7 linked regions of the Callithrix jacchus genome follow. The protein of the gene in region 1 purifies or fractionates together with the protein of each later gene. This does not show direct contact. Links are inferred from orthologs where the notes say so. Each region holds a gene or a part of one and is shown in the gene's direction. Other genes may lie near its edges. The genes, in order: RPA1, ZUP1, TOP3A, RFC5, RFC1, POLA1 and SMARCAL1.

Region 1 (3,500 bases):
TGCATGACTGCACTCCAGCCTGGGCAACAGAGCAAGACTCCATCTCAAAAAAAATAGAAATAATAATATAATGATGTCTAAATCAAACTGCCACATATTTCCTGTTTGTTCAAACTCCCAAAGGCAGAGAAAAAAATAGATTTTTTGGGGGTGGGAGGAAGGATGGTATAACACCCAAAATGTTTGACTGTGTGGTGGCAGAATCAATATTAGAACCTTTTTTTTAAACACATTACTGCTCTAAAGGTTGGCTACAGTTTCAATCATTTAAGTTTCTTGTCCACCTATAGCATTTTGGCTGAAAGAAAAGCAAAAGTGAAAATCAGATCACAGGCAACTTGAAAACATGACTTACTGTGACATTTGTGGCAGTGGCTCCCGAGCATGGAGTGATTGTCACTGAGAAGGCACTGGGGGAAGCGGGAGTCATCCCAGCAGCAGCCTGCTGTGGGCTCCAGTTGTGTCACTCAGTGGTCAGCGTGGTTTGGTTTTTATCGTCAGAATACTCCACTCGACACTACCCTTTCGTTCAGTTCTCAGTGTCTCACTTGAGGTTAATGCAGCATGACTATGGGACCAGCAATTGAAATTCTTTTTTCAGCAGGCTAATGACTTGAATGTGTGACTATAAAATGCGGGTTTCTGGGATGTCTGGAGCCCTCTCTGGGTCCCCTTTGTGTCTCACTGCTCTGAAGATGCCATTTTGATGCTGAGGTGGCCTATGTTTCACTGGTCAGGCTTGAAGTTGAATCCCACAGTCCTAACTGCTCTCACGTGCTTCCACAGGCTGAAATCAGAGCTACGGCTTTCAATGAGCAAGTGGACAAGTTCTTTCCCCTCATTGAAGTGAACAAGGTATAGTAGTGTCGGCTTTGGGGCCGACACTCACTGAGGATGAGAGGACTGTGGTCCAGTGGAGGGTTGTGTGGTGGCAGACCAGGGTTTCTTGTCCAATTTGATGACAGTCTGAAGTTCTGTGGCTTGGCCTCCTTTGCAGGTGTATTATTTCTCAAAGGGCACCCTGAAGATTGCTAACAAACAATTCACAGCTGTTAAAAATGACTATGAGATGACCTTCAATAATGAGACTTCCGTCATGCCCTGTGAAGATGATCATCACTTGCCTACCGTTCAGTTTGATTTCACAGGGATTGATAACCTAGAGAGCAAGTCTAAAGACTCACTTGTCGGTAAGTTGGTGTATGGGAAGGAACAGCAGTGATGAGTGGTATTCTGTGCAGTGTCCAGGGCGGTATTCCTGTGCAGCGTGGGGAGTGGTATTCCTGTGCAGTGTCCGAGTCGGTGCTCCTGTGCAGCGTGGGGGGCGATGCTCCTGTGCAGTGTCCAGGGCAGTGCTTCTGTGTAGTGTCCGGAGTGGTGTTCCTGTGCAGCGTGGGGGATGGTGCTCCTGTGCAGTGTCCGGGGCGGTGTCAGACCCCAGTGCCTGCCATTCACCCTCCCATCCCCTTCAGCTGGAGCCCTGACGGTCTCCTGCTAACACGTTGTGGGTGTGTTTCAGACATAATTGGGATCTGCAAGAGCTATGAAGATGCCACGAAAATCACAGTGAGGTCTAACAACAGAGAGGTTGCTAAGAGGAATATCTACTTGATGGACACGTCGGGGAAGGTGGTGACTGCTACACTGTGGGGGGAAGATGTAAGTGAGGGCGGAGCTGTCAGCGCGCACGGGAGGAGCTCCTGGGGGAGCAGGTGGTCTTGTCCTATGAGTTGGGGGCTTTGGCCGTGTAGATGGGAAGGGCCGTGCTGTCTGGCAAATATTTGAAATCCTTTATCTTCTGTGAGATTTGCTGTGATTCAAGCTTTACGGAGGCAAATGCTCCTCCCCCTAACTCTGGGAAAGTAGTGCTAGTTTGATGTGTCTTTGAGAAGATCGTTATGTGTGAAGTCTGTCTTGTGTAGATTCTATGTACATTGATTACATTCACTCACTATTGACTGTTTGCCTTGTTTTCTATAAAAACCTTCTGTGTTCTTCCTGCGAGTGACACGTGTGTATGTCTGGTGTTTGTTTTACAGGCTGATAAATTTGATGGTTCCAGACAGCCTGTGCTGGCTATCAAAGGAGCCAGAGTCTCAGATTTCGGTGGACGGAGCCTCTCTGTGTTGTCTTCCAGCACCATCATCGTGAATCCTGACATCCCAGAGGCCTATAAGCTTCGTGGATGGTAGGTTTCGTGAGGTGAAACAAAGGGCTGTTTGAGACTGGGTTTGAGGAGAGCTGGTTACCATGTGTGAGCCTCTGCCAAGCAGAAGTCTTTGTTAGGGAAGTGAGTGGTGCATTCGTTTCTTGGAGGCGTTTTACCTTCTGAGAAGATGGCTTTAAAACCCTTGAGCTGACAAACCTGGAATCACATCACGAACCAGAGAGTCCCAGGAGGCGATTAGAATGTGGTGCTGCCTGCTAACCTCGGTCCTGCCAACGAGCGCGTGGCAGGTGCTGAGGCGTCTTTCTTTCCAGGGTTCACACTCCAGGCCTCTGTGGCGTGGGGGGAGCATGTGCTTTCTTTTTCTGTCGAGTGTTTGGTGCTGATCTCATCTTCCAGTGTGTATTCACTGGACTCTGATAAAGTGTGGTGAGAACAACAGGCTTTTTGTTAGGATTAGATTGTTATTCCCATAGCACTCAGGGGATGAGAAGAGGCTGTTAAAATCTCCTCACTGTCTCTAGCCTTTTAGGACATTAAAACTCGGTCTTAAAAGAGTACTTGAAACTGAAACACAGTATGCAAGGATTGATGTGGTCAGGCAGGCGCTTTCACTAGCCCAGCTGAAATAACTCCTGTAGCTCTAGTCACGGGGCTAGCGTGTCGGTTTCCAGCTGTGTCTTAGGATTTAAGCAGCTACAGAATGAGTTCATTTTACATACTCCTCCTCTGCTTTGAGTCATGTGAACCAGTGGCACTGGTGTTTGACCAGTTTCATGAAGCATGTTGTGGAATGTTCATGTCACGTAAGCCACCCTCGTGAGCACAGTCCATACATCTCTACTGAGCTGTTGTGATAGCTGGCATTGTAGAAAGCAGGGCCCAGTCTGACCAGAAATAGCCGCAGATTGCTTTGGTCTTACTGCTTGATTTCCTTTTGGGCTGTGGAACTCGGCCCCAGGTTAACTGCATTCCCACATGAAGGTCTTCATATTTTACTTGTCAATAATCATGATCCCAGTCAACATAAGGAGCACGGCTGTCCCCAGAATCAAATAACCTGGCACTGATCAAAGGGCTGCTCAGTGTGCATACTTTACCTGGACGGGGATTAGAGGTGTTTAGATCTTGGCTGTGACCATGCAGGATTTTGATGGGGGTGGCCTGTCTCCATGCTCTGTTGACTCCTGATGAGTGCATGTTCCTTGGAGTCTTTGAAACCATAAACTGGTGTAGCTGCTGGTGGTGAAACAGACGTACGGCCTTTGCTGTGCCCTGTGGGGGATTTAGACGCTTACCTGACAGGAGAAGGCGGCTGTCTGCAGCATAGGGT
Region 2 (3,500 bases), on another chromosome or scaffold:
TGATAAAGCTATGAAATGCTTTTAGTTGTACCTGACCTTTTAAAAACAGTAGCTGAGTAGTATAAACAGTGTTTCTGGTTAAAAAATTGTTTATTGAAGGGTGACTCCTTCTTGAAGGAAAAATACCACGGTGGTCTGGTGTCAAATAGGAGATAGATGTATAGATGTGGGTACACACACATTTTTCTATGATCTTTACAGGTATTTTCTGTTATAGAGATTTGAGATGCTGACAGGAAAAGTATTTAAGATTTATTTGATATATACAAATGGCTGTTGAGGAATTCAAATCAGAAATCAGCTTCTAACTGATCATCAGGGTTAGAAACTAGAATAAAAGCTATGTCCCAGATTATATGTAGATGACTTTTAAAAAATCAGGTATGGTCACTATTTACTATTCATAGAGATTTTATATATCAGAAAATGTTTGTAACCTTAAGGTTAGTCAGCAGACTTATTATGAAATTATTTAAATAGTTAACTAGTTAGAAGAATAGTGAAATGGTTAAATAGGGAGAATTGTTAAATAGTTAACCCCCACAAAAAATGATAATTTTTTTAAATAAGCAGTAAAAATTTATATTTATTTTTCTTTCTTCCTTTACAGGGAAGTAATGGCTAGAAAAAGTTGGTTCTAACCTAATAATTTGTTATATTTGATAACTATTGAAAATATTTTTAAATGGCCTTTAATTATATATTCTGTCAATTTTTAATAGGTGTCATATTGTTGATTTTCACAAGTCAACTGGTCCTTTGGGTACACACCCTTGCTTATTTGAATGGATATTAAACTATTATTCTTCAGAGGGGGAAGTGAGTTCAAAGGTAGTGTGTACATCTAAACCTCCCATCTATCTTCAGCATCAAGGTTGGTATTAATATAACTCATGCCTGACAATGTTATTTATAAGATAACAAATTGTTGGCCAGGCGTGGTGGCTCACACCTGTTATCCCAGCACTTTGGGGAGCCAAAGCAGGTGGATCATGAGGTCAAGAGATCAAGACCATCCTGACCTACATGGTGAAACCCCATCTCTTCTAAAAATACAAAAATTAGCTGGGCATGCTGGTATATGCCTGTAGTCCCAGCTACTCAGGATGCAAGGCAGGAGAATCGCTTGAACCCTGGAGGAGGAAGTTGGAGTGAGCCAAGACTGTGCCACTGTACTCCAGCCTGGAACAGAGCTAGACTCAATCTCAAAAACAGACAAACAAACAAACAAAACCAAATTGTTGCTTTTGGACAGGTTAACGTTTTTTTGTGTGTGTGACAGAATCTCATTCTGTTGCTCAGGCTGGAGTGCAGTGGCACAATCTTGGCTCCATGCAACCTCCACCTTCCAGGTTCAAGCGATTCTCCTGGCTCCTAAGTAGCTGGGACTATAGGGGCATGCCATCACACCCAGCTAACTTTTGTATTTTTAGTCGAAACAGGATTTCACTGTGTTGGTCAGGCTGGTCTGATAATACCAAGGAGTAATATGACATTAATCTGATTTTCAGAGCTACTTTGACAGTACAATACTTTCTTAAGTAATTAAGATTGATATTTCTACAATACTTTCTTGAGTAATTAAGATTGATATTCCTGACATCTTCAGGACCTTTTGCACTTGTTATTTTCTGTGTTTGGTTCACTTGTCCTTCATTGTTCATTTCTTGCCTTCTTGGGTCTTTACCTACGTGTCACTTAAGTGAGGCCTGCCCTGACCTTACCTTATTTAAAAGTGGACCTCAAGGCCAGGCATGGTGGCTCATGCCTGTAATCCTAGCACTTTCAGAGGCTGAAGCAGGATTGCTTAAGCCCAGGAGCTTGAGACCAGCCTGAGTGACATAGTGGGAATCTGCCTCTACAGAAACAAGAAAATTAGCCAGGTGTGGTGGCACACGCCTGTAGTCCCAGATATTCAGGGGGCTGAGGTGGGAAGGTCACTTGAGCCCTGAAGTTGGGGGCCATAGTGAGCCATGATTCTGCCACTGCACTCCAGCCTAGGCAGCAGAGTGAGGCTGTCTCAAAAAAAGTACAACTCATCCCAACATCCCATTACTGTCATTATCTTCACTTATGTACCTTGTTTATAGAGTATCTCTTCTATTAGGATGTAAGTTCCAAGAAGACAGGCACATTTGTCTGTTTTGTTTGCTGTTATATTTCTTCCTACATGGAGTAGTACCTGGCACATAGATTCTTGGTAAATTATGAATGGATGGTTTGAATTGACAGGAATAAGCAGAATAATGTTAAGAATTTCATTGTTTAGGAATACAAATTATAAGAGATTAAGCACCCCCCACTGATATTCTAGTATTTATAGGTTTATTTTTGTTTACCTTTTGGAATCATGAGAGTTTTGTTCTAGAACAGTTTGTGTTCTTTCGTTTGAGATAATCTGAATAAGAGAGATCAAGGGATTGGGAAAGGAAAAGTAAAACCTATGGCAGAATAAAAGCAGAGTTTTTTGTAATGAAGCCTTTAGAAAACTAAAGTTAAATGAAGAAAAGTGAAGTAGCACTAAACTCTTATGTCTTAGGAGAACTCAGATACATATGTGTCAGAGAGTCTGACTGTATTATATGCTCACAGTATATATATAGATACTATTTGTATAGCTGTAAATATATATGACATATATATAACTTAAAAAAAAATCTTTTGGCAGGTCACAGTCGAACTGTTATCGGAATTGAAGAGAAAAGAAACCGAACATTATGTTTACTAATACTTGATCCTGGATGTCCTTCTCGAGAAATGCAGAAATTATTAAAGCAAGACGTAGAGGCTAGCAGTCTCAAGCAACTTCGGAAATCTATGGGAAATTTAAAACATAAGCAATACCAGATAGTAGCAGTAGAGGGTGCTCTTTCTCCAGTAGAGAAAGTTGTAAGTATCTAAATATATGTGAACTCTGAATGACACGAACTTAAAAGTTTAAAACTTTTAGTTTAAAATCAGTGTTATCACTTTTTTCTTATTCTTTCTTTCTTTTTTTTTTTTTTTTTTTTTTTTGGAGACGGGGGTCTCACTCTGTTGACCAAGCCTGAGTGCAGTGGCATGCAATCTTGACTCACTGTAGCCTTGACCTCCTAGGCTCAAGTGATCCTCCTGGGTAGCTGGGACTACAGGCGCATGCCACCACACCCGGCTGATTTTTGTATTTTTTGTAGAGACAGGGTTTTGCCATGGTTCCCAGGCTGGTATCGAACTCCTAGGCTCAAGCAATTTGCTCCCCTCAGCCTCCCGTAGTGTTGGGATTACAGACATGAACCACTGTGCCTAGCCCACTTTGTATTCCTTAGCACCTTATTCTGTTTCATTAAGTTGGAAACACCATTTGATTTTATATTTTTTTAATTTCTGGAATGAACATATTTTTATTTGAAATGATACTTTAATGACTTTCTATACTTAGAGTTTCATAAAAATGTTCAATTTTATAATATTTAATTTTTGATGTCAGGTAAGCGATGAATAATGTTAACACGTATAGTAAG
Region 3 (3,500 bases), about 16 Mb from region 1:
CCGCCAAGCTAGTTTAAACTTAATGCAGACAGATATGCCTAGAGTTTGTGCATGGACCCTGTGCAGTTTTATTTTTCTTTTTTGAGATGGAGTTTCGCTCTTGTTGCCCAGGCTAGAGCACAATGGCATGATCTTGGCTCATCTCAACCTCTGCCTCCCAGGTTCAAGCAATTCTGCCACAGCCTCCCAAGTAGCTGGGAACAGGCATTCCCCACCATGCCCGGCTAAATTTTGTATTTTTAGTAGAGATGGGGTTTCTCCATTTTGGTCAGGCTTGTCTCCAACTTCCAACCTCAGGTGATCTGCTGGCCTCAGCCTCCCAAAGTGCTGGGAGTACAGGCATGAGCCACCGCACCCAGCCCAATTTTATTTTTTAATGTGGGGCTGGTGACAAGGCAGAAGCATCTGCCTGTATCTGGACTCTCCTCCTCGGAGTTGGTTAGGCACCAGGGCCCATGATGAGCTCAGTCTTCTCTGCCTGCCGTCTGTTCTCTGCAGGAGGCCTGCAGCTCACTGACCAGCTGGTTCCCACGGTCACGCCTGTTGTGTGTACATAAGAGTGTTGTAGGTGCCTTTGCAGCAATTGCAGGCTGATGGGTGTCTACCTTTGCCTTCTCTTCAGATTGGACGAGGCCTTGGCCCAGTACTTTGGGAATGGGACAGAGGTGGCCCAGCAAGAAGACATCTACCCAGCCATGCCAGAGCCTATCAGGAAGTGCCCACAGTGCAACAAGGACATGGTCCTCAAAACCAAGAAGAACGGCGGGTCAGTGCTCTGCCTTCTGCCTTCACCTCTGCTCTCCAGCACCTGCGGTGTCAGCCACAGCTCTAAAAGGCCCTGCCATCTCACTTACATGGAATCTTTCAGGACAGGCCTGTGGTTGCCAACCTGCAGGCAAGGTGTTGGCCTAGAAGGATACCTGGGTGGGATCAGGCCTTTGAGGTGTAAAGCATTGTTGGAATTTAGAGCAGGTGGGGAACTGAGTGATTATGGGGTTTTTTTTGTCCCCTGTAGATAGGACATCATATACCTAATGTGTAACACATGGAGGAGCATGGGCTTCAGATCTAGGTGGGTCTGGGTTCAAATGCCACTTCTGCCACATATAAGTGGTGTGGCCTGAAGCAAGTTCCTAACCTGCTCTGAGCCCCAATTTCTTTTTTCATAAAATAAGGTCAGTACTCACAAGGCTGTGTTAAGGATAAGGATTTGGTGAAAATGGTCAGGACTGTATACCGCATTGCCTGACGTGTTGTAGTTACTCAGCAGATTCTACTTTTCTTCTCTAAGAAAAGTTCTGAATTGGGCCTGAAAATCTTAACTCCCTTTTGCTTTAAGTATAGTTGACCTGAATGGGAAATTTAGCCTCAGATCAGGTTGTTCAAGCCGGTGGCTGGCCACTGAGGAAGTTCACGGGGAAAGGTGTGCTGGAGGGGTGGCAGCCATCATTCATCAGCTGCCATTCCTTACTGGCATGATGCCTGGTGGTGCTCTGTAAACATCTCATCCCATTCTCTTTTTTTTTTTTTTTTTTTTTTAACCTCATCCCATTCTTGTAATCACCCTGCAAGGCAGGGATTTCTATGCAGCTTAGAGGGTAGAGGTTCCTGCTTGAAGTCAAGCAGCCCGTTTCACAGTGGGCAGCAAAGGCATAGTTTGAAACCAGGTTTTGACTGCCTTTCTCCATCCTGCCTGGCCCACCTGGGGCTGCTGTGCTCCTTGCTGCTAAATGAGAAAGGTTTCTCCACTCCTCCTAACCTCCAGCCATCAGTAACCCAGCTGGCCCCAGTGAAGAGAAAGCCACCAGCTCTCAGAAACAAGCGGTCTTTGGACCAGACCTGGAAGCAGGTGTCAGGGCTCTTGTCACTCACAGACAGAAGCCAGACCCACTCTAGGCCTAGCCCAATACCTGGGCATGTATTTAAGCACTTAATAAATGCTGTTGATGGGTTTTCCTTGCCACCAGCAGGTTTTTGGATTAGTACTCACTGGAATATAAGGAGAGAGAATACTTACTTTTGTTTTAGCACTGTATTGGAGAATTACTATTATTTCTTTGTTATTCTTTTGTTATTTTGTTATTCTGTTATTCTCTTGTAATGCTTCTTTGAGTTACTCCAGAAGGTCAGATTATTTTATGGGATTTGCCACTCCAGGGTTTATCTGATAATTTCCATTTCTGAGATTGTAAATTTCTTATTTAAATGATTGAAGTTTGGGGGTTTTTTTTCTTTGTAGTGTACCCAGGCATACTCAAAGGAATTGGTAAATCAAATGCACATTGGCTAGTCAAACCCTAATGTTTCATGGCTGCAAGGTGTTGAAAAACATGGGCCAGGAGAGACAGGGATGGGGTGGATGGGCAGTGGGTGGGGTGTAGATGTTGCAGGTGAGGCTCTGTCACAAACAGATGGGTTTCCATTTCTAGCTCCCATACCCCCATGCATGCACATCTCTGGGCAGGTTTCCAGCCCACACCAAGCCACCACTTACTCACATGCAAACTGAGGGGGCCCCTGACACTGCACAGACTTGGCACGAGGCAGAAAGGCAAGAATGTGTGAGTGCACAGCACAGGGCCCCTGGCGTCACCTTGGTTGGTTGTTGGTTTTCTAAGTAGAAAGCAGGGTCAGCAATAGCTGCTTTGTGCTTTCGGGTTGTGAGAAGGCTCATTTTTCTCAATCAATTAAATATCAGTGCTTGTATCTCCAGTTAACTGTCCTCCAGAAAAGGGAATGTTGTCCTCAGTCATCTGAGGAAAGGCTGTCTCGGCCGATGGCCAACGGCTGAGAGCCTGAGAGTGCCTCCTGCACTGCTACCACCTGACATGGCACCTTGTCCCCAGGCTCTACCTCAGCTGCACGGGTTTCCCAGAGTGTCGCTCAGCCATATGGTTTCCTGACTCGGTGCTGGAGGCCAGCAGGGATGGCAGTGTGTGTCCAGTTTGTCAGCCACACCCTGTGTACAGGTGAGCTGGGCGCCTGAGTCAGGCACCTCCTCTGGAGTGTGCACACCACGGTGCCCATTTTTCCCTTGCTCCTGCCAGAACCCAGAGGGGAGTGTAAGGGATTACACTCAGGCTCTGCAGGGGTGTAGCTGTGTTCTGCAGCAGTCAGGTCAGCAGGCCTGGTCCGGTTCTGTTGTGTTCCATGCTGTCACTGCTTTGGCGGGTATGACCCAGTTTGGAGTGGGCCATGGGCAAAGAAATATATTATTTAAGTTCCTCCAGAAAGCCCACAGCCCTAGTGCAGTACAGTGGTTCTCAAACCTCTTGGTCACTGGACCCGTAACACTCTGAAGGATCACTGAGGAGCCAAGAGAGCTTTTGTTCTGGGTGGTTTATCAGTATATACCACATGTGAAATTAAAGTAAAAACATCTTTTAAAATATTAATCTATTTCTAGTAAATGCATTGCATACTACTGTAAATAACATGGTTTTTAGGGTGATAAAATACCTGTTTTCCAAAGCAAAATAATAATAATGACATGAATGACA
Region 4 (4,158 bases), on another chromosome or scaffold:
AAGTTGACCTGGGAGAAAGCAGAGAGTAGGGGCACTGTCACATCACAAGCCCTAGGTGAACCCCCTCTTTGGGGTCTCCAGGCAGGGAATAGGGGGAAGCCATAACTGCCACCATATACTTGCCACTGTCCCTCTGCTGTGTTCCTAAAGCAGGTGACATTAATGTAATCCAATGCAAGGAGTACTGCTACCTCCTAATCAAAACACTGCTGACCCCAGGCCAGCCTCGAAAATCCTCCAAAGATTTTTCTCTTCCTCATCACGTTAAAAAAAAAGAGAGAGACTTCAATATCGATGGTTTGCATGCTCATTGCTGGAAAATACAGACCAGGCCAGGCACGGGGGCTCACGCCTGTAACCCCAGCACTTTGGGAGGCTGAGGCAGGTGGATCACTTGACATCTGGAGTTTAAGACCAGCCTGTCCAAAATGGCGAATCCCATCTCTACTAAAAATACAAAAATTAGCTGGGCATAGTGGCACGTGCCTGCAGTCCCAGCTACTTGGGAGGCTGAGGCAGAGAATCGCTTGAACCTTGAGACAGAGGTTGCAGTGACCCAAAATTATGCCAGTGCACTCCAGCCGAGGTGACAGAGTGAGATTCAAAAAAAAAGAAAGAAAAGGAAAGATGGACCTACAAAAAAGAAGAAAATGAAAATGATCCAGAATCTTTTCGACTCAGAAAAAAAAAAAAAAAAAACTAAAATGTTGATTACGATTCTCCTCAGTATCTCAGATCGCAGAAACCCTGTCCTCTGTGTTCATGAACCAGATCCTTCCAGCGACACAGATGAACCCAACTGGAAGTTTCTGTTTGTTTTTCTCTGGAGTAGTTTTCCGGTGGTTGGTTCTCTAAATTTTGTTGGGTGAGGGGCACGGATTCCGGAGAGAGGTAGGTTGCAGTTATGTGTGTTTGGGGTTGTTTTCATTTCCAAATATTCACCCCACCCCCAGCTTTGGGGCCGAGAGGTATTGTGAGCCTTTTTCACAAGGGCATGTATATTCAAGATCCAGCCGTGTTACTCGGGTGCTGTTTTTTACTTAGAAAAATATTTTTTTTGAGCCCCGAAAGCTTTTGTTCGTTTGAACGTTAAGTGTTTGAAGTTTGGCTATGGCAGGAATTGGCTTTGGCCGTGAGATCTTAATAGGTGCTAATGACCAGGGCTACAGGGCGCCCTGCCTCTCCCGATCCCCTGCTCTGGAAGCGCCTAGGTATCTGAGAGCTCCGAGCAGGCTGGAGAGGTGGAGCTTGGAAGCTAGCTGGCGGCTGGCCCCTCTGGTAACCTAGCAACCGGCGCCCTGGCAACACTAGGAGGCGGGACCCAGGGAGGAAGTCGGAAACCGATGGCCACTTATCGCGAGAGTTGTTTTTGCGCGCGAACTCTGAGTGCAAGGGTCTCAGGGTCAGGTCGCGGCTGGTCGCTGTGCAGGCGCTTGAGTTACGCGACGATCTCAGCGGATCTGGTCGCCTTCGTCTCCCCGCCATGGAGACCTCAGCGCTCAAGCAGCAGGAGCAACCCGCGGCGGCCAAGATCAGGAACCTGCCCTGGTAGGAAGAGGCCAAGCGGCCGCGGTGGGCAGAGGGGGCCGGGCGGCCGCGCGGGGAGGCGGTGGCCGGGGTGGGCAGGTGACCGGACCCCAGCCCGATCTTGCCCCGCCGCTCCCGGGCCTGCAGTCGGGGCCGAGCCGCAGAGGTTTCCCCCGATGCCCCCCAGGTCCCCAGACTCGTCCGTTCTGTTTAGGACTTTTGCCAGCTCTTACCCTTTCACACCCAGCTCCATTTGCCGAAGAAGAAAGCGGCTTTCGCACCTGGTGACAGCACAGGGATTCGATCCTGCGTCCTCTGACACCTGCGTTGGCCTCCATGCCAAAATGTCCTCTTCCCACTCTTCAAAACCTGCGATGCGACTATTGGTCACATTTTAAACGAGTAATAACGCTCCCTGGTCAACTTTTATTGAATGGCGTATTGCTAGATTAGCAGACACCCTGTTAGATGTTCGATCCTTACAAAGACCCTAGGAGGTAGGCACCGCTTCAAATTTTACATAGGAGGAAACTGCATCTTAGAAAGGTTAAATGACTTGCCTATGGTCCAGGGCTAGAAAATAGGCTTGGAGGTGAATCTAGGAAGTCTGAATTCAGAGCTTGTACTGTTAACCATCCTACTTCAACAGCGATGTCCTAGCAGTGCTCTAAAGACTTTGATGCAATTTGGCTTGGTTTTGAAAGCTCCAAGTTGTCATTGTCTAGTAGCTAGTTCAATTTGCTTTTATTGTGGTTTTTTAAAAAAAAATCCCATAAGGTTGACAGTTGTAACTATTTTATGTATTTATTTTTTTAGAGACAGGGTCTTGCTCTGTTGCCCAGGCTGAAGCACAGTAGTGTGATCACAGTTCAGTCTAACCTCAAACATTGGGGTTCAAGCCATTCTCCTGCCTCAGCCTCCAGAGCACTGGAACTTTTAGAGGCGAGCTACCAAGCCCAGCACGTAATCATTTTAAAGTGTACAATTCAGTGGCATTAAGTACATTCAGAATGCAGTGTACTGTTGTGGAGTCCTCCCACTATCTAGTTCCAAAATTTCATCATCCCAAATGCAAATCCTGTACCCTTGACAGTCACTCCCCATTCTCCCCTTCCTCTAGCCCCTGGCAACCACTAATCTTTCTGTCTCTATGGATTTGCCTATTCTGGACATTGATGTAAGTGGAATCCTACATGATGTGGCCTTTTGTGTCTGGTTTCTTTCACTCGGCATCAGTTTTTCAAGGTTCATGCATGTTGCTGTTTGTATCAGTACTGCATTTCTTGTTACGGCTGAATCATAGTCCGTTGTATCGACAGAAGACATTTTACCTATCCATTCTTCTGTTGAAGGCTATTTGGGTATGAGTTCAGTTTCAAATGCACTTTGAAATAGTAGGTGCCCATCAGGTTGAGATTATAGGCAAACAGCTGGAAAGATGAGATAAGAACAGTTTTCAACCTCAGCACTATTGATATTTTGGGCCAAGATACTCTGGGTGGGTCTGGGGGAGCTGTCCTGTGCACTGTGGCATGTTTAACATTCCTAGAGACTATGCACTAAGTGCCTAGGACCCTCTGCCCACGTGTGACAGCTAAATATGTTTCACTAGATGTTCCTAGGAGGACGAAATCACCCTGGTTGAGAACCACTGTCTGTGTTCAAATTTAAAGTGCTTTTTCTTCCTTTTTAAATTAGGATATGAAAGGATTCTTTCTCTCTCTTTCTTTTTTTTTTTGAGACAGGGTCTCACTCACCCTGTCAACTAGGATGGAGTGCAGTGGTGTGATCCCAGTTCACTGTAACCTCTGCCTCCCAGGTTCAAGCGATTCTCCCACCTTAGCGTGCTGAGTAGCTGGGACTACAGGGACATGCCACCTTACCTGGCTAATTTTTGTATTTTTTTTCTTATTTTTTTATTGAATGGCGTATTATTAGGTTAGCAGATGCCCTGTTAGATGTTTGATCCGTACAGAGCCCCTAGGAGGTAGCTGTAGAGACAGGGTTTTGCCATGTTGGCCAGGCTGGTCTTGAACTCCTGACCTCAAATGATCTACCTGCCTCAGACTCCCAAAGTGCTGGGATTACAGATGTGAGCCACTGTGCCTGGCCTACAAGGATTTTTTTTTTTCCTGAGATGGAGTCTTACTCTGTGGCCCAGGCTGGAGTGCAATGGCGTGATATCAGCTCACTGCAGCCTCCACCTCCTGGGTTCAAGCAATTCTCCTGCCTCAGTCTTCTGAGTGGCTGGGATTACAGGTGTGCACCACCATGCCCGGTTAATTTTTATATTTTTAGTAGAGACGGGGTTTCACCATGTTGGTCAGGCTAGTCTTGAACTCCTGACCTCATGATCCACCCGCCTCAGCCTCCCAGAGTGTTGAGATTACAGGCGAGGCATCATGCCCAGCCAAGGATTCTTTTGCATATAAAATGTTCTTGCATTTATATGTCATAATACCTGCTAAATTGTATTTCAGGGTTGAGAAATACCGGCCACAGACCCTGAATGATCTCATTTCTCATCAGGACATTCTGAGTACCAGTAAGTATCCATGTGTCCGTTGCTCTTGTCCTGGTTGAAGGATCTGTATAAATTTCTTGGTGGTGATGTCTCTCCTAAGTAATAAC
Region 5 (3,500 bases), on another chromosome or scaffold:
TAGATAATATAACAGAGGAACTTGGTTCTGGGTGGGGGATGTGGAATGTGGCATTTACATGGAGACTTGAAGGGATTTGGCAGGTATGAAGGGGTTGTGATGGTGTGGTGGTCTGGGCAGAGGGGCCAGAATGTGTGATGTTCCTGAAGGGAGAAGGTTCTTGCATGGTATGTTTGAGGAACTGAAAGAAAAATGATGTAGTTGGAGCATAGTGACCAAGGGGAGATGGCTTCTAGCTAGAATGGAAAGTGGGATTTAGGGGGAGATGTTTTGTTTATGGTAGGAGATACCATAAGAGAAGCATGCTTTTTGCTAATGGGATAGGTCCTACTAGAAAGGGAGAGATTAAAGTTTACCTACAAAAGAAGAAGAATCAATTGTAGTATGAGATTTCTGAGAAGGCTGGAGGGGAGGGGATATATATGTATACAATGTATGTATAAATTTAATTTTCAGTTTGCTTGGTATACATAACTACATATGGAGATTAATAGTTCCCTTAATAAAGAGAGGGAGAGGATGGTATAGTTGGGACTGGGGTGGGGAGCGGGACAGTCAGCCTTAAGGGGCTAATGGGTTTTACGAGAGGCTGCAGGAAGATGCCAGTCTTGCCTCCTGTACATGGGTATGAGAGACCAAGTTCTGCCTGAGAGGACTTCAGGCAAAGTGGTGCCCTGAGGGGACAGCCAGGTTTCAGTGAAGAAAGGCTGTGGAGGGAATGTTGGAGAAGAGGTTGAGGATATTGGGTAGTTGGCTGCTCCTGGAGTAAGAGCTTAGACGAGTTCTAGAATAGAAGAGTTTGGAAGGGAGGCTAGAAGTGCTAAGATAAGTAAAAAAGATAATTAGCGCCATCGTGGGTGATAATTTGGGAGATAATAGGTATTTGGGATATGGGATAAGGGGCTTGCTTGCATGTGCAACTTTTCCAAGGTTGTTTTGAGTTTGTTCAGAAGTAGTTTAGTTCCTGTAGTGTTACAGTAGGTCATTTCCATCCATGAACCATAAGCACTTCAAAGGACCTGAGATGTTGTTAGTCAGACCTTTTCTTTCCAAGCACATTCATTGCTATTTCTTTTTGTCTAAGAAAGATTCTTCACCTGAATGGTGCAGGATTGAATTTACATGGGTGCCTTCTTTGAATTTTGGTTGGCTGCTTCTTTTCAAGCCTGATTTAAGTTTGTTAATCTCAATTCTCTATTAAAAGAGTAATAAGTAACTTGGAATGTCATGTATAATTTTTATTTATTTTGTTTGGTGGTATAATTTTATTGAGCCATTGTAAAAATCTATAGCTATACACAGTTCCAATTAAGATTTAATGTCTTTTTCCATCCAGCTGTCTTTGGCAAGTATCTCTTATATTATATTATACATTGTGAGAGTTACCGTTCCAATCCAGAGATAATATGATCTTGCCTTTAAGTTACTTGCCGGTTGTTAGATTTACTACCAGAGTAATGAGCAAGAGGAGGGCAGGAGCTCGCACTTGCTTAGCTTTTTAGAATCAAAACTTTCCCTTTTTAATAATAGCAATAGTTGCGTTTTTTCTTCCGTTTTTTCCCCTAAAACAGTATAGATTTTTATTAAGCATTACAAGTTGCATTCGATAGCCTTTAGATATGCCACACAACAGTCCGTCAGCAGACCATCTAACCCAACAGGGCTTCATTCTTGTACAATCCATGAGTTCGGGGAAAACTCCCTTCAACTTACAGTTAAGATCTTACTTAGCTCTTGTGGGCAGGGATTGGGGAATTATACCTCATTTCTGATCACTAATGTAATGAAAAGCATCAGAAATATATGAAAATGATAAGAAGTGATTGTGACTTTAAAGTACATTGTTTGGAAACATTAACAGAAACATCAAAATGATAGACGTTTACCTGCTTCTATTAAATTCTTGTTGGGAAAGTTCTCAAGAATAAGCAGTTTCCTGAATAGCAAGAGTTTCTACAGATGGATTGCATTTCGTTGTTTATTTACAGTTATGCAAGTTAACTAGTACTTTAGATATGAAGAGGGCATAATGGAAAATAGTATGAATGGGTAATTTTAATAGCTTTGCTAACAGTATTGGATGTATGTTTTTCACTGCTTGTTTTGTAGGTTTATAAAATGTTAGCCATATCAAAATTTCTTAGGATCAGATTTCAGGTGGTACTTATTTGCTGTAAATTTCCAGCAAACTTTCCATGCCAAGGTTATTTATGATGTCAAGTGAAAAAAAAATCAACTTCCTGCAGTTTTGATGCCAAATGTTTCTTTGGAAAGCTACTGTGTAATTTCCTCTCTGCTTGAACATTTGGTTTTTAGGGAGCTGAAAATTGCTTGGAAGGCCTTACGTTTGTAATCACAGGCGTGCTGGAGTCTATTGAAAGAGATGAGGCCAAGTCTCTAATTGAACGTTATGGGGGGAAAGTAACAGGAAATGTCAGCAAGAAAACAAACTACCTTGTCATGGGTCGTGATAGTGGACAGTCCAAGAGTGACAAGGTGGGTACTGCTGTGTTCTCAACACCATGACACCTCCTGCTTGCCTTGGCATGCTCTTGATGTGATTTGCCCTTTACTCAGAGTTAAATGAAGGAAAGAAATAGAAAAGTAATTTCTTGCCCACATTATTTCTTCTCCACAGAAGTGTTACTGGCTTCGATGCCAGGATTTTGGTTTTCCATTGGAAGGCACAGTTCTTGTTTACTTGATTTTTTCTTAGTGTATTTAGTTTAAATCTTTTTTTATTTTTGAAGATAGAAACAAATGCAGTTTTCTTTTTCTTCCAGTCCGAAGAAATGCCACTGTATACACCATCTTAGGTTTTTTTAAAATTAGTGCTCTTAGGGAAAGAATCAGCTGCCTATCAGGTAGGATTCTGTTTAAGCTCTAAGTAACAGAATACCTGATTAACTGTGGCTTAAGCAAACAGCTGCTTACTTTCCTTACAAGAATGCTGGAGGTATTGCTGGGATAGTTCAGCAGCTCAATGATGTGGTTCCTTTATCTCTGTCATCTTTATTGTGTTAGCTTTTGTCCTCATGAATGTTGCCTTGTGGTTGCAAGGTAGCTGCAGCTCTAGCAGCTCTAGCCATTTAAGTTCTCATTCAAGGCAGGAAAGGGGAACAGCAGCAAGCTGTCATACATAAGAGCTGTGACTGGCCTGACAAGAGTTTTCCCAGAAATACCTCTTACAGAATTTCACGTCTCATTGGCCAGAGCTGTCACCTGGCCACTCAGAGCTATATGGGAGGTTGGGAAGAACCAAGACGTTTCTGGTTGCCTTAGACCAGTCATAATTAATCACTTGGAGGACACATTGGAGTTCCATCAGCAGGGAAAAAGGTGAGGGAAATGTCTGTTATATGTATTACATGTGGGAGAAGGTATGAAGAGCTGGTCTTAGGCCCTAGCGGCATTGCCCCTTCCCAGGGGAGGAAAGGTAAAGCAGTCTATGAAAGTAGTAATTCCTGTGCCAACCTGCTACTCTGAGGGATTGTGCCTGT
Region 6 (3,500 bases), on another chromosome or scaffold:
TATGCCCCTACCCTGCTCTATTTTCCCATTTTCCATATACTTGTTACCTCCTAAAATGATATAATTTCTTGTTTATGGTATCTATTTTTTATTATACATTTCAAACGAGGCTAGGAGTCTTTTCTGTTTTGATCACTGCTGTATCCTGAGTGCCTAGAATAATGTCAGATATATAGTAAATGTTCAAAAATATTTGATTGATAAATGGGAGAATGAAAGTTTTATCATAATTTTGGGTCAGCTTTAAAATAGGTTAGAAAGAAATGTTGTCAGTGTCTGCTCTTTCATGAAATTTGCTTTTTGTTTCCATCTCATAGGGCCGGAGTGGATTTGGTGAAAGAAATGCTACCTGTGGTCGAATGATCTGTGATGTGGAAATTTCAGCAAGGGAATTGATTCGTTGTAAAAGCTACCATCTGTCCGAACTTGTTCAGCAGATTCTAAAAAAGGAAAGGGCTATAATCCCAATGGAAAATATACGAAATATGTACAGGTATGATCCTAGATTCTTCAGAATTCATCTGTCTTGAAATTAACAATAGCAGAACACCAGTACTATTCTTAGTCTGGAGAGGCATGAGCCAGTGGTGCTGTAGAGGGGAAATTGTCTTTGTCAGTGCTACCATCTCCACTGCTTTCATAATTTGAACTAGTTTAGCTCTTGAATTACTGTAATTGATCAGTTTATCTCTATCTCCCTCACCTGTGTTAACACTTTCTTAATGTTTCCTAACAGTAGTTTGGATTTAGATTTCTACTCTTAATTCGTTTATTCAGGAATTAGGGTAGATACTTTGGAAATGTAAAAACTGAGCAATCATTAAGTTATTTAGAGGTATCACTTGCTTATTTCTTCCTCCTACTCCTCTGGTCATCTCTCATTCGTTTGTTCCTGCTAGTTCTTTCTGAGTCCTTCCTTTGACTTCTTTTCTGACTTTGCTTCCTCTCTGGGTGATCATAGGGAGTCTTAGGAATTTAAATATCATGTGGATGCCTATGCCTCCCACCTGTGTATCTTCAGGTTAGACCTCCCTAAATTCTAGAATCAATGTATCTACTTACCTATTTTACTTGATACCTAATGTGAACTCCCAGCTTGTTCAAAACTGAGCTCTAATCTTCTATCCTAGGTTCTTCCTGTAGTCTTTCCTTACTAAATTAGTAAGCGTATTTTTCCGTTATCACTGGACACTTCAGAGTTTTACTTAGCCCAAAATCTCTGTGGCACCTTTGGTTCCTCTCTCTCATATCCCACAGTAGATGTATGAGGGAATCCTGTCAGTTTTATCTTCTAAATATCTCGAAGTCTGACCACTTCTTTCCGATTCTGTTGAACCCATCCTGTCCAAGCCACTATCCTTTTTCCCCTGGATTACTGGGTTTATATGCCTGTCCCCTTCCTTTTGCCCTTACCCCTTTATAATCGGTTCTCAATCCAGAACCAGAGTTATGCTAAAATCAAGTCAGATGTGTCCAGAATCTTCCAGTGACTCTTTGTTTCATTCAGAGTAAGAAGTGAAGTTCTTGTTTTTACTTATAAGCTCCATACAGTGTGTCTCTATGCCATTAACTCTGTCCTTATCTCCTGCTACTCTTTCCATTATTCTCTCTGACCCAGTCATATGGCCTCTTTCCTAGTCCTGGAACTGCCAGATTTGCATGCAGCTCAGGGCTTTTGAGTGTGCTGTCCTGTCTGCGTGGAGTGCTCTTTCCATAAGGCTTGTTCCCTTACCTCTTCCAGATGTTTATTCTCAGTGAAATCTTCCACTGTTTCCTAATAAAAATTTCGGTCTCTGCTTCCGATACTTAATATTCCCATTGCTTAACTTTTAAAGTTATGTAACATACTATATACATAATTTCTTTTTCTTTTTTATACTCTGTCTCCCCCATGAGGACATAAGCTCCAGGAGGATAGGAAGTTTTGTTTGTTTTGGTCACAGCCAACTCCTGGCACATAGTAAGCATGCAATATATACTCACTGGATGGAATGAATGAAAGGATTTAGATAGTTTTCAGGCTTGTAGTTATTATATTACTTCAGTTTTTCTTTATGGGATTGTGTGTGTGTGTGTGTGAGTGTGTGTGTGTGTGTGAGAAAGGCTTTGGGATCAATGGTATGAATGAATTCCTAGTTACATACTGACCTTAATTTGTTTCTGAAGCCAAGATGCTGTTGCTCTGAATTTACTTACACCCAAAATTCCTTGTAATAGTTTATGAAGTTATGATTATGGGCATTGTTTCTTTTAATTATTTGATTCTGTTTCATTCTTACTTTTCTGTACAGTGACTCTTCCCAACTGTTATACCTGTTGGAACACACCTGGAAAGATGCCAACTTCATTTTGCAGATCATGTGTGAGCTGAATGTTCTTCCATTAGCATTGCAGATCACTAACATCGCTGGGAACATTATGGTAAATTTAACTTAGAAAGGGGGAAAAAGCATTTCCTGTTGGATTCAGTGTTTGCTTGGGGTAGTTGTTATATGATAATGAGTCTAAATGCATGCTTATAAAATGAGTAACTTGGATTCTGAGAGCTGGACTTCTTTTGTAAAGGAAGAACTGGTTGGGAGAAGGGGAGGAATGCCAGGTGCAGTGTGTTGAAATTTGGACGAACATAAGGATCATCTCTCTAACATCTGGATGTGTCTGTTTGGTGGAATGGTCCATTTGGGAGTAAATAGCCAAGTTGTCAATATTTTAAGCTCTCTTTGTCTCCTTTAACTGTAATGCTCAATGAAAATGTTAGGAATAATTTAGTACTTTTTTTTTTTTTTTTAAAGCAGCCTGTTGTTAGGAATGGTTTTGAAGGAGGTGATGTGACTAAACTTAACTGACTCAAAGTTGCTTTTGTTAGTTGTGGTTTTGAGCTCAAATTTTAAAAAGAGATTCCATTTAATAGTCCAGGACACTGATGGGTGGACGATCCGAGCGTAACGAGTTCTTGTTGCTTCATGCATTTTATGAAAACAACTATATTGTGCCTGACAAGCAGATTTTCCGAAAGCCTCAGCAAAAACTGGTGGGTCCAAAGCTGTGTAGTATTTTGTTTCCTCTTATCCCTTACTTTTTATTACCTAGATAGCCTTTTTTTCTGTGATGACATCTGCTTTCAAAATAGCAAATCCCTTGTGTACTGTAGAAACCGTGTCAAGTTTATTCCCTTGTATTTGTGTCATTTCCTTATCCACTTTTCTCTTTGCAGACAAAATTTGTGAAACATGAAATTCTCTGAGGGAAGCATTAGACCTCTCTGATGGGTGACCATACATGGAATGTGTTTTGGCACCTTAGCCCTACCCAAAGTTAAATGCCAGTTAAACCTTTTATTTTCTTGAACCTATGAGCCTTTATTATTGTGTTGCATTTTTCTATACTAGTATGATCAAGGTCACCCACAATTAGGTTTCTGAAATAGCCTCCATCACTTTAGAACTAAAACTTAGTTTAGCTACTGTTTTATTAGCACTGATATGAATTGATGCAGAAAT
Region 7 (4,130 bases), on another chromosome or scaffold:
TATTTTAGAAAATTCAAACATTCTGAAAAATAGAGATTAAAAAGTTGAAAAGTGTATTCCATGCTACTCTGCTCCTTAACAGTTTGGTGAGTTTTCAAGTTTCCTTCCCAGATCTTTATGTGTTTACATATATTTAGAGGTAAGGATTTCTTTTTTAAAAAAATGAATCAAACTACACACATTGCAGTGCTTCCTTTTTCTTAGCATGTCTTGTCCATTTTTCCAAATCCTTTAGTAGACATCTGTTTGTTTTTTAAATAGGCCATGTTTGAAAATAGAATTATAGCAACATTCATATGCACACTGATGATAGAGCAATATTATATTTATCACTAATATGGAACAGTGGAATTGACCCTGGAGAGAAAAGGGTGTTGATTTGTTGGTGCTCAGGAGTAAAGTGACTTTTTTTTTTTTTTGAGACGGAGTTTCATTCTTGTTGCCCAGGCTGGAATGCAGTGGTACGATCTCGGCTCACGGCAACCTCCGCCTTCCAGTTTTTCAAGCGATTCTCCTGCCTCAGCCTCCCGAGTAGCTGGGATTACAGGCGCCCACCACCATGCTCGGCTAATTTTTGTATTTTTAGTATAGATGGGGTTTCATCATGTTGGCCATGGCTAGTCTCGAACTCCTAACCTCGTGATCCGCCCACCTCGGCCTCCCAAAGTGCTGGGATTACAGGTATAAACCACCATGCCCTTTCTAAAGTGACTCTTAAAATCTCGTGACTAACCTTCTCTCAAGAGGTGGGTCTATGGAATCAGACTCACAAGCTAGCTTAATAAAGCATTGAGAAACATTACCAAATGGCTGTCTCAGTTTCCCCCTTGTAAAATGGGGACAAGAATGTGTTCCATAGGTTGTAGTGCGGTTAAATGACGTAACTCATATTTATGCTAAACGCAATGACTGATGACTGCAATGATGACGACGATGGCAGACGGGCGCAGCGACTGAGGCTTAAATTGCAAGGATAGCAATACCAGGAATGAATGCCTCGGGGGAATACTTTTTATCAAGAGCCTCCAAGTTAGTCTGGCTGTCTGAGATGCCCTCTGGAGACAGGAGACCACAGGTCTGGAAACCTCAATGTCCCAGGCTTTCAGGACCTGGCGTTTGGCTAAACCTCTGGAGAACTACAATTTCCAGGGTGCACCACTTTCGCCCCGCACTTGACGTTGCAGCTCCCGTTTCTCGCCAGGCTCCCGGCATGAACTACAAAACCCAGAAGACCCTGCAGCCCCGCTGGCGTTCTCGTCTCATCACTCTCACTTTTGGACGCGAAACTGTGGCCGCATTGCCTGCTGGGAAGTGTAGTTCACCGGTGACCGAGCCCTTCAGGCCAGGCCGCTACAATAAGGCGGGCGAACTCGTAGCTCTTGAATACCCGTGGCCTAACCGTCCACCCGGAAGACTAGCCCGACTCGGAAGGCTCTGGAGTCGCGCCTGGGCTCAGAGCCGGGTGCGAATGCGGCTCGCGTTCTAGGCCTCCTTGGGTGAGAAAGTGGTAGACTGGCAGGAAGGCGGCGGAGGCGGACGAGACCAATGCCAGCCTGGAGAAGGAAGTGGGCCAACGGGAAGGGTGAATCCAAGTGGATATCGTAGGGGTGGGAGTGGGGTGTGGCACCCGCTTACCTTGAGGCTGGGTGAGGCGCGCCCCGAAATTCTGGGGAGCAGAGGTCCCTGCTTAGAGAGGAAGAGGGACGTCCATGTGGCGGGATGGCTTTATGGTTTGGGGATGATCAGTGGGTCTTATGGCCTCGTCTCCCTGGTTAGTGGAGATAGCTCACCAGGCCTGGGATCTGGAGTGTCTGGAGGTGCAGGGAACTGATTGGAAACTTAGGCAGGAGTGCGTTACCCAGAGAAACTGAGGGCTTCCGCTGTGCACCTGCAAAACGTTTCCCTAACCGCTTCACCCCTTCCTAACTGCTAACATTTGGAGAAGGTGGAAGTTCTCTGAGGATAGATGCTTCTTGGTCGGGGAGGAGGAGTGGGGTGGGGGGTTGGGTTCTGCCAAAGGGAGCCCCAGCAGGGAAGGAAACCCTTGAACCCTATAGTTGCCCAGAGGCCTAGGCAGTGCTACTGAAGTACTCCTACATCATCATTCTAAGCATTACACAGCGTTACAGTAGATGCAGGCTATTTAATCTGAACCAAGCCAGAGAAATTGGTGTCCCGCCCCCTGCTTACAAACTGTTGTAAAAATGTCTCAGTTAGTAGGAAAATAAATGTTATGGGTAAATTCATGGGAAAAAAATCAGGGTGCAAAATGGAATGTTTACAGTGATCCTATTTTATAATAAATTCTTATGTCTCCTAAATATGTGCCATGTATTACGTGGTTATGGATAGAAAAAAAAATCGGAACTGTATACTCTAAATTATTAATTTCAACCGTGGTTATTGATGGCTGGTGAGAGTATGGATTAATTTTATTCTTTTTGTTTGCTCGTTCACATCTTTATATAGCATCTTAATTTGTACAGTGAACACATATTTCTTTTTTCCACCCCTCTTTTTCCCCGGAGAGTCAGTCAGTTGCTCCGTGTGTTGTGTTTTGGAAATCAGGTGTCAAGGCCAGCTGCTCTGGCTTGCACTGAGCCACAGGCTGACTGACTGCCAGGAAGGATAAAAGGCGTGAATGTGAGGGGAGAATTTCGTGTGCAGTCCATGGGAGGCTAATGCTTTTTTCCTTCTTCTAGGTTGGAAAGAGGCTATTTTAGCAAGTATCACGCCATGGTAAGTGGTTGGTCTATTTCAGTCTAATCTATTATGCTTTCTGGTTAAAAATGTCACCCTTCTCATTATCTGATGGATTTAAGTGCACTAAGGAACTTTCTTGGGTTCTGATAACTCACCTTGTCTGGGGCATGGGAAGGAGAGAAATATTGCAGCTGAAATGCCTTTTTAGCTTTGGGTTTGCTTTTTCTGTTTGTTTTTGAGATGGAGTTTCACTGTTGTTGCCCAGGCTGGAGTTCAGTGGCACAATCTTGGCTTACTGCAATCTCTGCCTCCCAGGTTCAAGCAATTCTCCTGCTTCAGCCTCTCAAGTACCTGGGATTACAGATGTGCACCGCCACGCCTGGCTAATTTTGTATTTTTAGTAGAGATGGGGTTTCTCCATGTTGACCAGACTGGTCTCAAACTCCTGACCGCAAGTGATTTGCCTGCCTTGGCTTCCCAAAGTGCTGGGATTACAGGCATGAGCCACCATGCCCGGCCTGCTTTTTGCTTTTTGATCAGGATCTTTATTTTAGCATATGCTGCCTACTATCTCTGTGTATGTGCAATTATAAAATTAACTTTAATATATCCTTTAGTTGTGCTCATTATGTAGTTTCTGGGACAAAAGCTTGTTAAAATCATGGTTGGAGCATGGCAGCTAATAAATGTAATGTTCATTTCAGTCTTCTTATTTTCTTCCACAGCTTTTGCCAACTTTCCAATTAAAGATTGACTTTCCTGCTTAACTATTTCTCCTGGAAAATGTCCTTGCCTCTTACAGAGGAGCAGAGGAAAAGGATTGAAGAGAATCGACAAAAGGCTCTGGCCCGTAGAGCTGAGAAGTTATTGGCAGAACAGCATCAGAAGACTAGCTCGGGCACCACCATTGCTGGCAACCCATCCCAGGCCAAACAAGGCCCATCCCAAAATTTCCCAAGGGAGTTTTGTAAGCCAGTGAGCCATGGTGTCATTTTCAAGCAACAGAATCCCAGTAGCTCATCTAATTATGACCAAAAACCTCATAATTCCCACAGTTTTCATCTTAGCATACCAGAGCAGGTGAAGGGAATATGGAAAAAACCAGAAGAAATGACCACAGCCTGCCCAGGCCACAGCCCACCACATCAAGTGGCTCTCACTGGAATCTCCCCTCCTTTGGCAAAAAGTCCTCCAGAGGTCTCTAAACAACAGCCCTTGGGTTACAATTTAGGTCAAGGTCATGCTCAGGCTTCGATCAGGTCCATACCCTTTGCTAACCCAACTCATGAGCCTTTGGCCAAAGCAAAGAGTTCACAAGAGACACCAGCTTGTTCTGGACAGCCTCCCAGGGATGTTAAGTTAGAGGCCAACAGAGCAAAAGCCTCCACCTCGTGGCAGAACACTTCTTACATCCATTCTAGCTCGGG

Evidence for each region.
Region 2: the proteins of RPA1 (region 1) and ZUP1 purify together in Homo sapiens (affinity purification with western blotting; 4 studies listed by BioGRID, with this or other methods). This does not show direct contact. The link is inferred for Callithrix jacchus from reciprocal best matches to the Homo sapiens genes RPA1 and ZUP1.
Region 3: the proteins of RPA1 (region 1) and TOP3A purify together in Homo sapiens (affinity purification with mass spectrometry; 4 studies listed by BioGRID and IntAct, with this or other methods). This does not show direct contact. The link is inferred for Callithrix jacchus from reciprocal best matches to the Homo sapiens genes RPA1 and TOP3A.
Region 4: the proteins of RPA1 (region 1) and RFC5 purify together in Homo sapiens (affinity purification with mass spectrometry; 3 studies listed by BioGRID and IntAct, with this or other methods). This does not show direct contact. The link is inferred for Callithrix jacchus from reciprocal best matches to the Homo sapiens genes RPA1 and RFC5.
Region 5: the proteins of RPA1 (region 1) and RFC1 purify together in Homo sapiens (affinity purification with mass spectrometry; 3 studies listed by BioGRID, with this or other methods). This does not show direct contact. The link is inferred for Callithrix jacchus from reciprocal best matches to the Homo sapiens genes RPA1 and RFC1.
Region 6: the proteins of RPA1 (region 1) and POLA1 purify together in Homo sapiens (affinity purification with mass spectrometry; 3 studies listed by BioGRID and IntAct, with this or other methods). This does not show direct contact. The link is inferred for Callithrix jacchus from reciprocal best matches to the Homo sapiens genes RPA1 and POLA1.
Region 7: the proteins of RPA1 (region 1) and SMARCAL1 purify together in Homo sapiens (affinity purification with mass spectrometry; 8 studies listed by BioGRID and IntAct, with this or other methods). This does not show direct contact. The link is inferred for Callithrix jacchus from reciprocal best matches to the Homo sapiens genes RPA1 and SMARCAL1.

What each region holds. Positions count from the first base shown.
Region 1 is NC_133506.1:66,377,743-66,381,242, reverse strand, and holds part of RPA1 (replication protein A 70 kDa DNA-binding subunit), read left to right. Parts: intron 1-786; coding exon 787-855; intron 856-997; coding exon 998-1,190; intron 1,191-1,519; coding exon 1,520-1,659; intron 1,660-2,039; coding exon 2,040-2,188; intron 2,189-3,500. UniProt on the Homo sapiens protein: As part of the heterotrimeric replication protein A complex (RPA/RP-A), binds and stabilizes single-stranded DNA intermediates that form during DNA replication or upon DNA stress.
Region 2 is NC_133505.1:122,970,699-122,974,198, reverse strand, and holds part of ZUP1 (zinc finger-containing ubiquitin peptidase 1), read left to right. Parts: intron 1-722; coding exon 723-874; intron 875-2,668; coding exon 2,669-2,889; intron 2,890-3,500. UniProt on the Homo sapiens protein: Deubiquitinase with endodeubiquitinase activity that specifically interacts with and cleaves 'Lys-63'-linked long polyubiquitin chains. Shows only weak activity against 'Lys-11' and 'Lys-48'-linked chains.
Region 3 is NC_133506.1:82,709,073-82,712,572, reverse strand, and holds part of TOP3A (DNA topoisomerase 3-alpha), read left to right. Parts: intron 1-622; coding exon 623-766; intron 767-2,846; coding exon 2,847-2,969; intron 2,970-3,500. UniProt on the Homo sapiens protein: Releases the supercoiling and torsional tension of DNA introduced during the DNA replication and transcription by transiently cleaving and rejoining one strand of the DNA duplex.
Region 4 is NC_133510.1:121,071,573-121,075,730, forward strand, and holds the start of RFC5 (replication factor C subunit 5), read left to right. Parts: upstream 1-1,358; 5' UTR 1,359-1,483; coding exon 1,484-1,548; intron 1,549-1,760; exon of another isoform or gene 1,761-1,891; intron 1,892-4,007; coding exon 4,008-4,072; intron 4,073-4,158. UniProt on the Homo sapiens protein: Subunit of the replication factor C (RFC) complex which acts during elongation of primed DNA templates by DNA polymerases delta and epsilon, and is necessary for ATP-dependent loading of proliferating cell nuclear antigen (PCNA) onto primed DNA.
Region 5 is NC_133504.1:154,486,842-154,490,341, forward strand, and holds part of RFC1 (replication factor C subunit 1), read left to right. Parts: intron 1-2,316; coding exon 2,317-2,496; intron 2,497-3,500. UniProt on the Homo sapiens protein: Subunit of the replication factor C (RFC) complex which acts during elongation of primed DNA templates by DNA polymerases delta and epsilon, and is necessary for ATP-dependent loading of proliferating cell nuclear antigen (PCNA) onto primed DNA.
Region 6 is NC_133524.1:25,473,045-25,476,544, forward strand, and holds part of POLA1 (DNA polymerase alpha catalytic subunit), read left to right. Parts: intron 1-317; coding exon 318-493; intron 494-2,291; coding exon 2,292-2,421; intron 2,422-2,911; coding exon 2,912-3,031; intron 3,032-3,500. UniProt on the Homo sapiens protein: Catalytic subunit of the DNA polymerase alpha complex (also known as the alpha DNA polymerase-primase complex) which plays an essential role in the initiation of DNA synthesis.
Region 7 is NC_133507.1:138,226,522-138,230,651, forward strand, and holds the start of SMARCAL1 (SWI/SNF-related matrix-associated actin-dependent regulator of chromatin subfamily A-like protein 1), read left to right. Parts: upstream 1-1,330; 5' UTR 1,331-1,582; intron 1,583-2,702; 5' UTR 2,703-2,739; intron 2,740-3,428; 5' UTR 3,429-3,486; coding exon 3,487-4,130. UniProt on the Homo sapiens protein: ATP-dependent annealing helicase that binds selectively to fork DNA relative to ssDNA or dsDNA and catalyzes the rewinding of the stably unwound DNA. Rewinds single-stranded DNA bubbles that are stably bound by replication protein A (RPA).